Linked DNA regions of Rattus norvegicus. The protein of the gene in region 1 purifies or fractionates together with the protein of each later gene. This does not show direct contact. Links are inferred from orthologs where the notes say so. Each region holds a gene or a part of one and is shown in the gene's direction. Other genes may lie near its edges.

Region 1 (3,500 bases):
ACTTCACGGTTCTTACTGTCTGAGATAAGTCCCGCTAGTGTTTGGCGTACGTTCCGTAGATGCCTTTCCGTACACACTCCATCACTGATTTTAACTTTGTTTGTTTAGGTCCATTTTCCCTGTCCTTGTCCCTAGTGTAGCTGATGGCCTTCTGCACAGGTGTGGAACAGAGGAGCACATGCTGTTATCAGTGGACAGGCGGGGGAGGGGGATGGGGGGCAACATGATTGTGTTGCACAGGGCTCTTCTCTGAAGCACGGCTGCACTGTAATTAGATGCTACCCGGGTCACAGTGTCTCTGATTTCCATGTGGATTTGTGTATCTCCAACAGAGGAACATTTGATATTTATGTAAAATGTGATGGCGTTGGAAGATGCGTTGGTAACTATGACAATCGTGGGAGTTTTGGAGAACTGGCCTTAATGTACAATACACCCAGAGCAGCTACAATCACTGCTACCTCTCCTGGTGCTCTGTGGGGTTTGGTGAGTAAAATATTTGCTTGACCCAAATGATATTAGTTTTGAAAATATCATGACAGTAGATATTTTCAACTACTGTTGAAAGATAGCATCGATACTGTATTTTAATTTTAATTGGTAGTTTTATTTGTGATCACGAGTCATTGGCACTTGTTAAGCCTCTGCTACTTGCCACACCATTAGTCTATGCTGAACCAAAGATTTATGTCCTGTCTCTCCCCAAGTCAGGAGCTTGAATATACTGGCCCTTGGGAATGACATCCGATCCTAATTGCCTCTCTCTTATCCATGCTTAAAATCCACAAGCCACAGCAGCTTGGAGAGATGGCTCAGTCAGTAAGGTGCCTGCTGGACGCCAATGAGGGTCTGCGTTTGGATCCCCAGAACCAGTGTAAAAAGTTGAGCACAGTGGCCCGTGCCCGTAACTGCAGTATCGATGGGGGAAGCAGGTGCAGACACACACAGATCCCAAAGCTCATGGGCTAACCAGTCTGGCCAAGTCAGTGAACTTTATTTTCAGTAAGAGACTTTGTCTCAGAAGTGGAGAGCAACCCAGGAGGGAGAGACATCTGACATCAGTGTCTGGCTCCTATAAGTATATTTCATATGTGCATTTGTGCATGAGCCTCCGATCACATGCATGTACATACCTTCAACCAACAAGCATGAATACTGTAACACACACACACACACACACACACACACACACACACAGCCTTTTTCTTAACTAGATCTCTGAGGTAAGTCCTATAGTCTGTAAGTCAGTGGTTTTCAGACTGAAAGTCACAACTGGGAACTTGTTAGGAACATCCCAGGCCCCCAGGACTCTGGAAAGGGGGTTCAGCAGTCCTATACTGGCAGACACCTTTCATGTGGTCCTGATGTGTGCTGCGCTTTGAAAAGGCATGGGAAAACAGCAAGCAGCACAAACAACAGCAGCAGAACAGTTCTCTCGGTGGTCTCTCTGCTCATGGGCAATCTGAGTAAAACACCCATTCTTTTCATCTCGGATACTGGAAAATAAATCTTGCCTCAATTGTACACAAAGCTAACCAGTCTCTTTGGGTGGGACGTGGGTGTAGGATGGACTGAGCAGTCCTAATCCGGAAACTCAAAGCTTGAAATGCTTTTTGAGTGCCAACATGATTCCACAACTGTAAAACTCTATACCTCACTTAATATTACAGGCCAGTCAACTGCAGGAGGCATTACGCTCCTGAACTTTACCTTTAGCCAGGTATATGAGATATATATGAACCTCAAACATGCTTCCATGCTACCGTGTTAGGATTCTTCAGAATCTGGGCAGTCGGGAGTGGGGGAGGCATGGGGGAGGCGTGGGGGAGACTGGATGGTGGAGTGTTGGGGGCGGGGGATGGTCTCTAAAGTCTGAAACACTTCTGGTCTCAAGTATTTCAGACAAGAGATTCTCAGTCTGTCTCTATAAATAAATGTCTTAACGGTAGAAATTCTGTTAAGTGTTGGTTCACAGACACATTTGGCTGAGGAGCTAGAGAAGCTGTGTGGACTCTTCCACAAGGTAACAGTGCAGGGCTTAAGTACTAACAACTGACGATGGCTTTAAGGTGGGGCTCCGTCTCTGGTAAGCTTGGGAACCCACTCACCACCCCGCAGACTCCACATCTGTGATCTAAGGTGAGCCTGGACTTGCTTGGAATCAGCTCCCAGGAGGTGTCCGAACTGCCTGGTGTCACACTTCACCCCAGGCCACACAGAGGATTGTTTGGGACACAAAACGTCTCGTGTTCTTGACATGCAGGTGTTAGGGTTCTCCTCAGCTCTTTGTACAAGAGGTTGTAACTGTCCCGTTTCAGAGGGTTACTGTGTTACAGAATGTATGTACACAGCATTCATCTCAGCCTTGGACTCATAAAACATCTCACTGGAAAGAAAAAAACAGGATACTTAAATTTTCTTTTTATTGGAGCCACGCAGTCATTGTATACCTATTAAATAAGTCAGTTATAGGATAAAAAAAAATGGAGAGTCTTTCATGTAGAAAGAAACACATCGCCTAGGATGTTAAGGATGACTTAAAACCAACAGAGGACAGCTGCAGCAGAGCAGACCTCTGTGTGCAGGGAGGACTCACAGTGTGTGGGGGGGCTCGTGGGGGTTAACTTGTGTCCACCGTGACCTGCCTATTACAGAAAGTGTAACCTAAGATGTGGTAGTCCCACTGGAGTTGCCAGTCAGAGTCATGGTGCCAGACGGGAACAAGGTATCCTCAAGCATCCTTGATCCAGGATACATTTTCAGATCCACCCCCCTTCGCCCCCAGTCCCCAAGCATGGAACTTTCAACCCTGATGCTAATGGTAACCAAGGTACAAAGGGCTTGGAGTTTTTGTCTGCATAATTCTTAAGCTCCTAAGAAAAATTCCAGAGATTCTTTTGGTGCTGTATACATGTTAGTGACATTTATAAACAGTTTCTGGTGCATGCAAACATGCAATATTTTTAAAATTATAATGTGAACATGTGTTTTCATTATATTAGAAACTAGCTTTTTAAGAGCAATTCGCATAGCCAGTCCCTTCTAGGGGAAGTCGAGGCAGAGCAGAAATGTGAGGGTCCACAGCCTGCAGCCCAGTGGTTGTAAGTGCTGTTGTAAAGAGAAGCAGTTGGCAGAGAAGAGTCCTCATCCTAGAGCCTCACTCCGGAAATAGCATCCTGCAGCTCTTAGCCCTAGAGATTAGCTGGAGACATGGCCACTACAGTGATGCAGAAAGGCCATTGTAACTGGGAAGAAAGTGTTTGAAATTGGGCTTCCTGAATTTGTTGGGTCAGGGTGGGTTGTGATATGGTGGACCATTTCATCCTGAGATACACAGTTCATGATTTACTTCTAAGTGACTGAACTATTTCACGAATTCTCTGTTTTAACAACAACAACAACAACAATGACAACGGTCTATCTTTAAAATGTCCCTGCTTCCCAAATCTGACTGTATATGACAGTCACACAGGATACTTTTAGATGTATTTCACTAGACA
Region 2 (3,500 bases), on another chromosome or scaffold:
AAAACATTTTAAGAATAAAGGAGTCTGATGCCCATTGTAATAAATGAGCCCTCAGCCTGTGGCAGCTCTGGATGGATTGTGGTAGCTGTGCAGATGCCTGAGGCTTATGAGCATAGCTTTAGAGAAGAGACCATAATCAGTGGATGGGAAGGCAGGGTAGCCCATCAGTCATAGCCAGGGAGTTGTAACTGCTGAGCTCTCAGTGGGTGCAAGCAGCACTGGTGTTTTCAGGTTGGCTTTAGCACCGCTGTATGTGCTTCCCTTGAGGTTGAAGTTAAGGGAGCTGGTACGGGGGGACGGGATGAGGGAGCTGGAAAGTCAATGAATGCAGCCTGCTAAAGGCTTGGTATGGTTCTGAGTCACTCTTGGGAGCCACTGGCATGCACATATTGGCTAGTCTACTTCTCTTGGACAGAGGTTAGGGGCTTTGTGGTAGTAAAACCTTCACCAGCTCATTCTACCTCAAGATGGCTGCCCAAGGTGGGGTTTCTTGGGTGGGGTTCTCTGCCGTAAACCTAGTGTTGAGGGAGGTCCCTCAAAGGGAGATCGCTTTGGAGGTCTCTTCCTTGACTGGGAACAGAGAGTACCATAGTCTTTTATATCCAGATGTGGATTGCTTGGAAAAGAATTATGTCCTGAGTTGGGAGAAACCAGGTGGAAAATAGCCTAATTAGTTGCTTACAGGAGTGATTTATTTCAGGCCATTGAGTTTGGTATTTCAGTCAGGACCGGATCTCCTAACTTGCGCTGAATGGTCCTTGGTGCTTATTTGGTCCCCTCTTCCTCCTCCTCCTCCCCCTCTTCCTCTTCCTCTACCTCTTCCTCCTCCTCCTCCCCTTCCTCTTCTTCCTCTCCTCCTCTTCCTCCTCCTCCCCCCTCCTCCTCCTCTTGTTCTTGTCCCCTCCCCCTCCCCTCTTCCTTTTTCTTCTCTCTTCTTCTTCTTCCTTCTTTGCAATGGTCCTGGGGAAGAGTGGAATGGCCTGTGTTGGTTCCAGAGTCACATTCTCCACTGTTCTCTTGGTTTGGTGTTTGGTTTCTCTCACTGTTTGGGCTGTTTGGGCCACCCCATATTCAGAGCCAGTTCCAGAGGGGAAGGGAGGAGGCCCACCTGGCTTTGTCCTGAGAATGGGACCCTCAGAAGGCTTTCCTACTGTGATTGCCCAAGTACCCCAGAACACCCCCTCCCCCCAAGCCTGGGCCTTGGAGACTAGAGATCCTTGGTCTGAGGGCCTGGGACATTTGGAAAGGGATCGAGGTGATCGTGACAGGAAGGTCAAGGCCTGCTCCTGGAACTGCAGATCTGTGAGTCATCTTGTTGGCTCCCCTCCCCGATATACCCTGTATAAGCCCCTCCCTGGGTATAGAGAGTGCCTCTTCCTAGCTTACCACGTGTGTGTCTGCCCAGCAGCTGTGGCGAGGCACGGCTGCCAAAGAAGCAGGCAGGACTGTTCAGTGACAGGCTAAAATTAGGTGCATGGGTACCCTAAGCCTCCTTTCATTGGGTTTCCTGAGCCTTTTAGTCTGTGGTATCTGCCAAGCTTGCAGAGGGGTGTCTGTGTGCAGGGCCTCCCAGTATTATAAATTTGGGAAGCTGTGATAGTTACTGTGAGCTGGTGTCTGTGTGTGTATATATGTCGTTCCTCCCCTGCAGGTTCTGACGGGAACAGTATGGATTCAGTGGATAGCTGTTGTGGGCTTACGAAACCTGATAGCCCCCAGACTGTCCAGGCAGGCTCCAACCCTAAGAAGGTTGACCTCATCATCTGGGAGATCGAGGTGCCAAAGGTAAGGGCAGTGACTTTCCTTTAGGCTGGATTCTGTGGGAGCTCAAAATTTTTCAATGCCAGGGTTAAAGGATGTCAGCAAATTACATTAGATGACCAGGCTGGGAAGCTGCAGACTGTCTTTCCTCCCTCCCCTGTTTTGCTGGGTCCCCCAGGCTCCTCTGTGTGGGCTGGGGCTTAGGTCTTCTCTGTATACTAGCAAATGTCAGTCAGAGGAGTGAACGCCAGAGTCTCCCTGCTCTGCACTGTGAGGTGGACTCGATAACTGGGCAGAGTGTCAGCTGCTGTAGAGTACAGAAAGCCTGAGGCAGAAGCAAAGGCAGGCAGGCAGGCCAACCCCGAGCGGCTGTGTTCCCTCTCACCTCACACCCTGTGATTGTTAAACAAGCCAAGATTGTGGTGTCTTAACTAATACTTCTAAATTTTTAGCAACTTAATTTTCCTGTGCTAGTCTTTAAAAACATTGTTTTAACTGCATTGTTCATCGTAGGAATGCGAGGTGCTTCACCAGTCCCCAGCGCCTAAGTAGTTTCTAGCCCCTTGCTGTTAGAACTTAACCGCTTACTAGTGTTTGTCACTGGGGTTCAAAAGTAATTGGCAGACTGCTTAATCCCCAGGGCACTTGGCTCCAAGCTGAGTCTGAACTTTGGGTCAAGACTCCTAGGCTGACCCCGGGCTGCTGGCTCCCGTGGTAGTTTCTTTCCCTAGTGACCTTGTTATCAATCCTGCCCTCGGTGGTCACAGAGGGCATAGTGAGGCAGGCTCTGGGTGAGTAGGGACCATGTCCCTTGCCACCCTCCAGGGCTGGGGTCATTAGGAATTGTTGCAGGGCTTGCCTTACACTATGCTTAAGTCTGGCGTCTTCTGTTTGCCTGGAGTTCTGGTGCACTGGGCACTTGTATGTACTTGCTCTTCTTTAGTGGTGGGGTGGGAGTCTTGAGTGTTCTCATGCTTTCGTTGTCCAACCAGCTCTTTTGTCTGTGGCCCCTGGTGGACTTGGAGTGGCAGGGATGTTCAGAATGAGAGTCAGCCCTTAGAGCAGTGGATTATTAAGAGTGCATGCATGTGTAGGAGGGGTACTGTAATATTCCTGGTCTGGGACATACTGTTAGAATGAGATGCTGAGTCCTGGGCCAGGCTGTCCCCTTCAGCTGCTTAGCAGCTGTGTGGGCTTGTGTGGGTTCCAGAGCATGTCCCAGCTTGTTTCTCTTCATGTGGAAGATGATAAAGTTGTCTATCCGTAGGTACATAGTGAGCATAAGTGCTTAGAACAGTTCTGAAAAATACATGCTGACAGAAACGAATGGTGTGAGCTTGACTAAGCCTGGGTCCTTGGGCAGCGAGGAGTTGGTTTCCTGTCATCCTTACCTCTCTCTTTCCCTGGAAGCATTTAGTTGGTCGACTGATTGGCAAGCAGGGACGGTACGTGAGTTTTCTGAAGCAGACGTCTGGTGCCAAGATCTACATCTCCACCCTGCCTTACACACAGAACATCCAGATCTGCCACATAGAAGGTCAGTGGCGGTGGTGCCCTGTGCTTGGCTCCCTCGCCTGAATTCAACACAAGGCAGTAGCTTCCTGGTTGCAGCTGTCCATTTGGAAGTTTAGCTTTTAAATAGAAACTGTGGGTTTCTAGGTAGAGGGCATGCTGGGTGTCTTCCTACAGACTCCTCCGGTTCGGGTGCTTGTGGGAGACTGCCCCTCTGCACCATGTCT
Region 3 (3,500 bases), on another chromosome or scaffold:
AGAGTGAACAGCGAAATGACTGTCCCCCATGAATGTCTCTCAGCTGTGAGAGCTGGAAGGCAGTTCTAAAGCTAGAGCTCCAAAGCCTAATTTCAACTCTTCCTGTCTCCTGGGCAGCTCAGTGCCTTAGTCCTTCTTAGCCACAGCCCAATACTGTTCCATGAGGTTCAGACTGCCCTACAGGGCCCTTTTGTTCAAGTGCTAGTTCAACTTTCATCCCACTGTGTTCTTTCCTAGTGGCCTTCACCCTGTTCTACCAAGTGATCTGGATGTCATCAGTGACACTACTGGCTTGGGAAATGGAGGTAAGTGTACATGCCCAGAAGTAAAGGGGAGCAGGCTGAGACCATGAGCATCTGTGACCTGACACAGTATATTGTCCTGGGGCCTAGGGCCTACCTGGCCTGACACCCAGTGGGCACTCAGCATCTTGTACACGTTGTGTCTTAATTGGCTCTCAACCTTCTTCATGTTTAAACTGGAGTGTGGGAGATTGCACTCTGGGTTTTGCATTCTTCATCATTTTCATTCTGAAAGAAGTACATGCTATCCGAAGTAAGTGGGGAGTGCTGATAGTTTGCCTTGTTGAATTATCTTTGAGATACTTTCACTTGTGCTTTTTTTCTCTTCTCTAAAATTATGAGATACAAACAAACAGAAGCTTTGGAAGACAGACAGAATGAGAAGGTTTATTTCTAGGAAACACTATTACTTAATAGGCCATCCCCAGGTTTTCCTCTGGGACCTGGTAAGTTTTCCTTGAAACAAAGTGTCCAGTGAATAGAAAGTTCTGAGGCCTACCCTTAATTCAGCACACGTTGTACTTGCACTTCTTGCCAGACTCTGGTTAAGCATTGGGATTCAACATGGAATGCCAGTGCCTTCAGACGGAGAACAGACAGACGAGAAGTTTCTCTGATAAATCCATTGATGCAGGTTAGAACAGAGAAGAGTTAGGTGCTGTGAGAGGAATGGGAGAGTAAGGGAGTCAGGTGAGCATTTCCCAAGAGACTGGTCACTGGAGCCGAGACTTGGCACTGAACTGAGGTAGGGGAAGGACGGGATGAAAGTCCCTGACACAGGTGACTGAGCACCGACTGAGGACAGAAAACCTCTGTGCTCCTCAGCCAGACGTACAGGGCTCTGCACACTCTCTCTGCTCCCAGTTGGCCTGTGCCTGGGGCCTTCTCTTCTGCCTGCAGCTGCCTGCTGAGTTGAGAACTCAGCTCAAAGCACACCACCTTCTTTGCCTCTCCCTGGTTACTTCATCCTCTCTCCTCTGAGCATTATATATATTCACTTTTCTTATTCCTTTTAGCCCCTGTCTTAGGGTTTTACTGCTGTGAACAGAGACCATGACTAAGGAAAGTCTTATAAAGGACAACATTTAATTGGGGCTGGCTTACAGGTTCAGAGGTTCAGTCCAGTATCATCATGGCAGCATCCAGGCAGGCATGGTACAGGAGGAGCTGAGAGTTCTGCATCTTCATCTGAAGGCTGACTTCCAGGCAGCTAGAGTGAGGGTCTTAGCCCACGCCTATGACACACCTACTCCAACAGGGCCACACATTCTAATAGTGCCATTCCCTCGACTGAGCATATACAAACCTTGACAACATCTATGCAAGTATACAGAAGCAAACATGTTCTCACCCATCTGTACTCTTCCCATCCCGGCCAAAGACCAGGGCCTGGTTTTGGCCTGGGTTATCCCAGTGTCATTGCAGCTGTTCCCATTGTTCCTCTCCTGAACTCCTCAGTGTCTGTTCTCAGAAAGGCAGCCAGAGGGAGCCTTAATCTGTTCACATTGCTTTCAGTCCTCCAAACAGCAGTGCATCAGTTAGCCGAGCCTGCAAGACCAGCCCTCCTGCTTTACTTTTCTCCATCCCAAATCACCTTTTAGCCTAGCACATGATCACCCAGTTGTTTTGTTTCTTTCCTTCCTCTAGAATAGATCTATTTGTTTCTTGGTGTAGGTAGACCCAGAAAGTCTTGGCAGGAAGCAGCTTCTCAGTGCAGCTTTGTCAGAGAGTGAATGTTCAGTCACTTGATACACACTAACCAGCATCATGACATTTGTTTTCTTCTGCTTTGCCCACTTGCCTGGGAAGCTGGTGCAGGTGCACTGTCCCCTTCACTATTGTTTCCCAAAGTGCAGACTGGTGCTCAGTGCAGGGCAGGGCAGGTGTGTGGTAAATGTTTAATGAATTAAAGAAGCTCTGCAGAGACTGGGTCCCAGCAAGGCCTGTGGTCAGCAGGGTTGGAGTTTCCCACCATTGCCTGCTTTTGTAAGAACAAACTTTTCTTGGAACATAGGCTCTGTGTTTATGATTCACTTTATGAGGCTGTTGTCCTCGTGTGGCAGTAGATGTTGTAGAGACATGACGGATTTTCGGCTGTGCGTGTGGCCTACAAAGCCTGGAATAGTCATTGGTGTTTTATGAAAGCGTTTGCTAACTCTGCTGTCAAGTCAGTCAGGCTGCCTCAGTTACTGACGTGTGAGGAGGAATGACATGCTTTGTCACATGTCCCATGTAAGTTTTGGGTTTATCCCTTGACATATGTGGTTACATCAGAGCCAATGTAAATACTTTGTCAATATTGAGAATAATTTAACTTGGAGCATTCTTTGAACTCACATCAGTAAAGACCAGCAAGCAGGAAGTTGCCCACAAGGCTACTCTGACTCTCTTCTGGGCTCTCAGCCCCAGCAGGAATGCCATACAGCCTGCTTGTTTGATGATTTCCTTTGTGTGTTTAATCTTTCTATAGTGCTCCCAATCATGTCAGAAGAAAAGGTCTCTCCCACCAGAGCCCGGAACATGAAGGACTTTGAAAACGTAAGTGAAGACACCAACTCATTATCCCTTTCTAAAAGGTCATGTCAGCTCCCACCATGTAGCCAGGCTTGGGAGAGAGGTGTTTCTTGAGAACTGTTTGAGTAATGTCAGAGGCAAAGGGATGCCATATTGTGGGGCTTGATGGCCCAAGGGTGTTTTCTGTGAGGCTTTTACATGCACACACAAGTTGTTTCATACACGTTTTGGTAGGTTCTGCCTGGTAATTGGCTTGTTTCTGCTGTATTGTAGATGAGAGGGTTGCTCTATTGTGTGGTGAAATAGAGCTGACAATATCATAGACACAGGATTCATAAGCCCTCATTGGTCCTGGCTGCAACTCTGAGGTACTTTATATTGGCCCCATTTTACAAAGGGGTTGTCAAAGTAGGGGAGACTGATTTATGGTCAGATACTAAATACGTAAAAGACAGAAGTGGGATTCAAATTCACTTTTTAGAAATGAATATTTTTGTTGGTTGGTTTGTTTTTTGAGGCAAGCTTTCTCTGTGTATCCCTGGCTGTCCTGGAACACGCTCTGTTGATTAGACTGGCCTCAAACTTGGAGATCTGCCTGCTTTTGCCTCTTAAGTGCTGGGATTAAAGGTGTGAGCCACCATCGCCTGTCTGAAAATGATTATTCTTTTGAGATTTTTCTTAATT
Region 4 (3,498 bases), on another chromosome or scaffold:
GGTGGACCCTCAGCTCAGGGTCATTCTTCAGTGGCTCATTGCCTCGGAGGCGGAAGTTAGAGAACTTTATTTTCAGGACTCTGCAAAGAAGGAGTTTGTCTTAGTAAGTACCTCCCTTCTAGAGTGGTTGTGAGGAAACAATGCCATGTAATAATCCTAACTCCTTTGTCGGTTTAGCAAAATGCTTGTTGACTGCAGAATATTAATATGTAGGAGTCTTACAGTCGGGTTCTGGTTTGACACTTGGGTAGGTAACTCACCGTGGGCAGATGAGTTAGTTTCCTTAGTTGCATGTGGGATTAGAGGCACATAGAATTTACTGTACAGGTTTGTGAGGATTAATTACAATACTGTAAAGAGCAAGGACTTGGTCTAACATCCTAACCCTAGAAGTTAGATGTCAGTAATAAGCAGCTAATGAATTCTTGAGGAAAGATCTAGCTATTCTATTTCTCTGATTCATAATTGTACCTAATTAATTAGGTCTTTCTCATCTTTATGTAAATAGAAGGCTTGTGTAATGAAAAACCAATACGAGATTAGATACTTTTGTTTAGATATACCAAGCATGCTGTTAGTAGGGATTTTCAGGTTTTAGTTTTAAGAGTGTTCTTCCTCAGTTTTCCATATAAAAAATTATAACCTTGCTGTAGTACAAAACAGTCCAGTGACTAAACAATATAGATTAATCAAAAAAAGGACAGGAAAGGATAACCCAAGGTACTCTTATTTTCTGGTTCAAAACTTAAAACACTATTGTTGGAAGATGTCAGTGAAGGATGTGACTGCTCCGACACGGAGTTTATTAGCTTGAGACTTCTGTTTGTAGGAGAGAAAATAGTCTGGGAAGAAATACTCAAGAAATGAAATATCAAGTGGAAGTGTGGCTTAAGATAAACCATGGCTACATGGGGCTGACAGGTGGTTAGAGGAGGAGGCCTTGTCGTCATGTAACCTCGCCCAGGGATCTTTGCCTGATTGAGTCAAGTACAATGCTCAGTTGTGGATGGCAAGGTCTTATTATGTTAACATTGGCTCATCTGAAGTGACTCTCAGAGACTATCTAGCTAGGACTCCACAAGGCTATTGGGGATGTATGAAACAGTCAAGACAAGTACAGCTTATGTTTGATAGTAGTAAGAATAATAGAAATACTTTGTCTTTCTGGATCATATATTAAAATTCAACATTTTCATGATTAAATAGAATAAACAGTATTACCATGAGGATAAACAGAAGATGACATACAATTGTATGTCAAAAAAGATATAAACATTTTAGGTAACAAAAGAGAAAGACATTGTCAACAAAGGGAGAAGACAGTTCACATATGAGAAGAAATGTTTATAATTTTGTATTCTTCATACAAAGAATGCCAATGGACGTTAGTGTTATTATTGCCTATCTTTGGAAAATAAAACATGAAGGGGTATTCAGCTTTACTAGCCGTTAGGAAAATGCAAATCAAAATCACTACATTGCAGTAGGGTGACTGTCCAGGTGGTAACAGCAAGCGTGGGAGGACATGGTACCCTGAATTCTTCTTACAGTTCTCAGTGAGAATCTAAAATGGTGAAGCTGTGGTGGAAAAACACCTAACAGTTCCCCAGAATGCCAAGTACAACATTAGCATGTTACCCAGCATTTCACTGCTTGTGTGCACTCGAGGAACACAAAAGCATGTGTGTACACAAAAACCACCTCAGAAATGTCTGTGGCAGCATTACTTATAGTAGGTAAGTAACATTTGTAACATTTGTTAGGCTTGTGGTATAGGTCTATAATTTCCAGTACACCAGAAGCAAAGGCAGGAGGATTACTGTATGTTGAGGTCACCCTGATCTAAATTAAGCAAGTTCTGGTCATAGTAAGACCCTGTCTTGAACAGTGAGCAGTCTCCCATCTGTCTTATCAGCTAATGAATGGAGAAGGAGCTTTGTTGGTTAGTAGAAAGTAGTAAGGCACTGAGTCTTGCTTTACTTCAAGATAACTATGCTAAGCCAAACACACACACAAGAGTTCACAGTTCCATTTCTATGACATACCTCTAAGTAGGCACAGCTATGAGACCCCAAGTAGATGAGCGCTTTACAAGGTGCTATAGAGGATGGAGAGGGGCTTCTGATACAGACGGCTTTTCTCCTGGTATGAGGAGAGAGCATCCAGTATTGACTGTGTGGACTTGTCTTCAGTTCAGTGATGTACTAAAACCCATGGACTGTGAATTGTATCTCAAAACTGTTTAAAGAAAAGCACATTTCCAGTAAAATAGTTTTTCAGAATTTATTTTACAGGCCTTTTAAAACTTAAGAATTCTTACATAGTTGAATAAACAGGAAAGTAAGGTCAGGTTCTGTTTTGCAGTGGTAGAGTTTGCCTAATCCCTGTTCATTCTTTTGCTTGCTTCTTTGTTCAGACATCACATTTCTTAACTTAGAAAGCCATGCTTCTGTTGAGGCTGAAGTGTTTTCCAGAATATAAACCATACTATATGCTTGGAAAGAAAATCTCCATCCTTTTATTAACCTTGACATTGTTGTTATTATTTTATGTTCCTAATTGAGGTTGTGGCAGATGTATTTAGTTAGGTGAAGAATTTTCCTGTACACAGTTACTCTGCATTCCCATGCAGACTGTCCACTGCCAAGGCTTGCGTTCTGTTTCCGGCAATCCTGAAGTGTCATTCTGTGGAGACTTGTTTCAATTTGGGCAAAGGGCTGGTGGTTGGGAGGAGATGGCATAACTGGAAAAGAAAATTTCATGGTAAACTGCAGGATTCCCAGTTTTGTCTGAAGATAAAAATAAAAACTTTGTTGCCTCAGATTGTTTTTTGTTAATGTATATTAATGTTTCTGTTAATCCTTCTTTCTTAGCTTTCAAAGCAGTTACAGGAGAGAGGATGGAAAGTGGGCGATGTCCTGCAGGCTGTGCTGAAATACTACGAAGTGGTGGCCAAAGCCTCAAGCGAGGACACGTGCACGTCGCTGTTTGATTGGCTTTTAGAAAATGCCTAGCACACCGCAGGGCAGTGTACTTTAGTGCTTGTTTTAGGAAGTAAAAAAGTTGATGATTTACATGTAGGATAAAATTCAAATACAGAATATTAACATTTTAATTGAATTGAGAGGAAAGTAAGCTTTTTAAGTGCTTTCTGTCATTACACTGTATATAGTTCATACTTTTGTAATCTTTGTCAAGATATTCTCTTTACTTATTCTTCTGTATATGTGTATGTGTTATGACCTGGAGATAATATTCTGTGAAGGACGATCTATCCTCACCCGAGGCTGGGGCATTCATTGTCTGACAGCATTTGTTTGGATTCACATAGTGCTGCTGCTGCTGCTGCTGCTGCTGCTGCTGCTGCTGCTGCTGCTGCTGCTGCTGCTGCTGCAAACAGGGCTGAGGCGGCTGGCCTGGCCCACGTGATCACTTGGTTCCTTTGAAAACAAGTGGTGTCTAATGATAAGTCATCTGACATGAAGAAAGAAAACTGAG

What was found. The genes of interacting proteins can lie anywhere in the genome.
Region 2: the proteins of Prkar2b (region 1) and Akap1 purify together in Homo sapiens (affinity purification with mass spectrometry; 3 studies listed by BioGRID and IntAct, counting the BioPlex papers as one, with this or other methods). This does not show direct contact. The link is inferred for Rattus norvegicus from reciprocal best matches to the Homo sapiens genes PRKAR2B and AKAP1.
Region 3: the proteins of Prkar2b (region 1) and Cdk5rap2 purify together in Homo sapiens (affinity purification with mass spectrometry; 3 studies listed by BioGRID and IntAct, counting the BioPlex papers as one, with this or other methods). This does not show direct contact. The link is inferred for Rattus norvegicus from reciprocal best matches to the Homo sapiens genes PRKAR2B and CDK5RAP2.
Region 4: the proteins of Prkar2b (region 1) and Akap11 purify together in Homo sapiens (affinity purification with mass spectrometry; 3 studies listed by BioGRID and IntAct, counting the BioPlex papers as one, with this or other methods). This does not show direct contact. The link is inferred for Rattus norvegicus from reciprocal best matches to the Homo sapiens genes PRKAR2B and AKAP11.

What each region holds. Positions count from the first base shown.
Region 1 is NC_086024.1:54,301,412-54,304,911, reverse strand, and holds part of Prkar2b (cAMP-dependent protein kinase type II-beta regulatory subunit), read left to right. Parts: intron 1-332; coding exon 333-486; intron 487-3,500. UniProt on the Homo sapiens protein: Regulatory subunit of the cAMP-dependent protein kinases involved in cAMP signaling in cells. Type II regulatory chains mediate membrane association by binding to anchoring proteins, including the MAP2 kinase.
Region 2 is NC_086028.1:74,127,367-74,130,866, reverse strand, and holds part of Akap1 (A-kinase anchor protein 1, mitochondrial), read left to right. Parts: intron 1-1,651; coding exon 1,652-1,785; intron 1,786-3,171; coding exon 3,172-3,298; intron 3,299-3,500.
Region 3 is NC_086023.1:88,965,898-88,969,397, reverse strand, and holds part of Cdk5rap2 (CDK5 regulatory subunit-associated protein 2), read left to right. Parts: intron 1-237; coding exon 238-305; intron 306-2,772; coding exon 2,773-2,840; intron 2,841-3,500. UniProt on the Homo sapiens protein: Potential regulator of CDK5 activity via its interaction with CDK5R1. Negative regulator of centriole disengagement (licensing) which maintains centriole engagement and cohesion. Involved in regulation of mitotic spindle orientation.
Region 4 is NC_086033.1:60,323,838-60,327,335, reverse strand, and holds part of Akap11 (A-kinase anchor protein 11), read left to right. Parts: coding exon 1-103; intron 104-2,873; coding exon 2,874-3,014; 3' UTR 3,015-3,498. UniProt on the Homo sapiens protein: Binds to type II regulatory subunits of protein kinase A and anchors/targets them.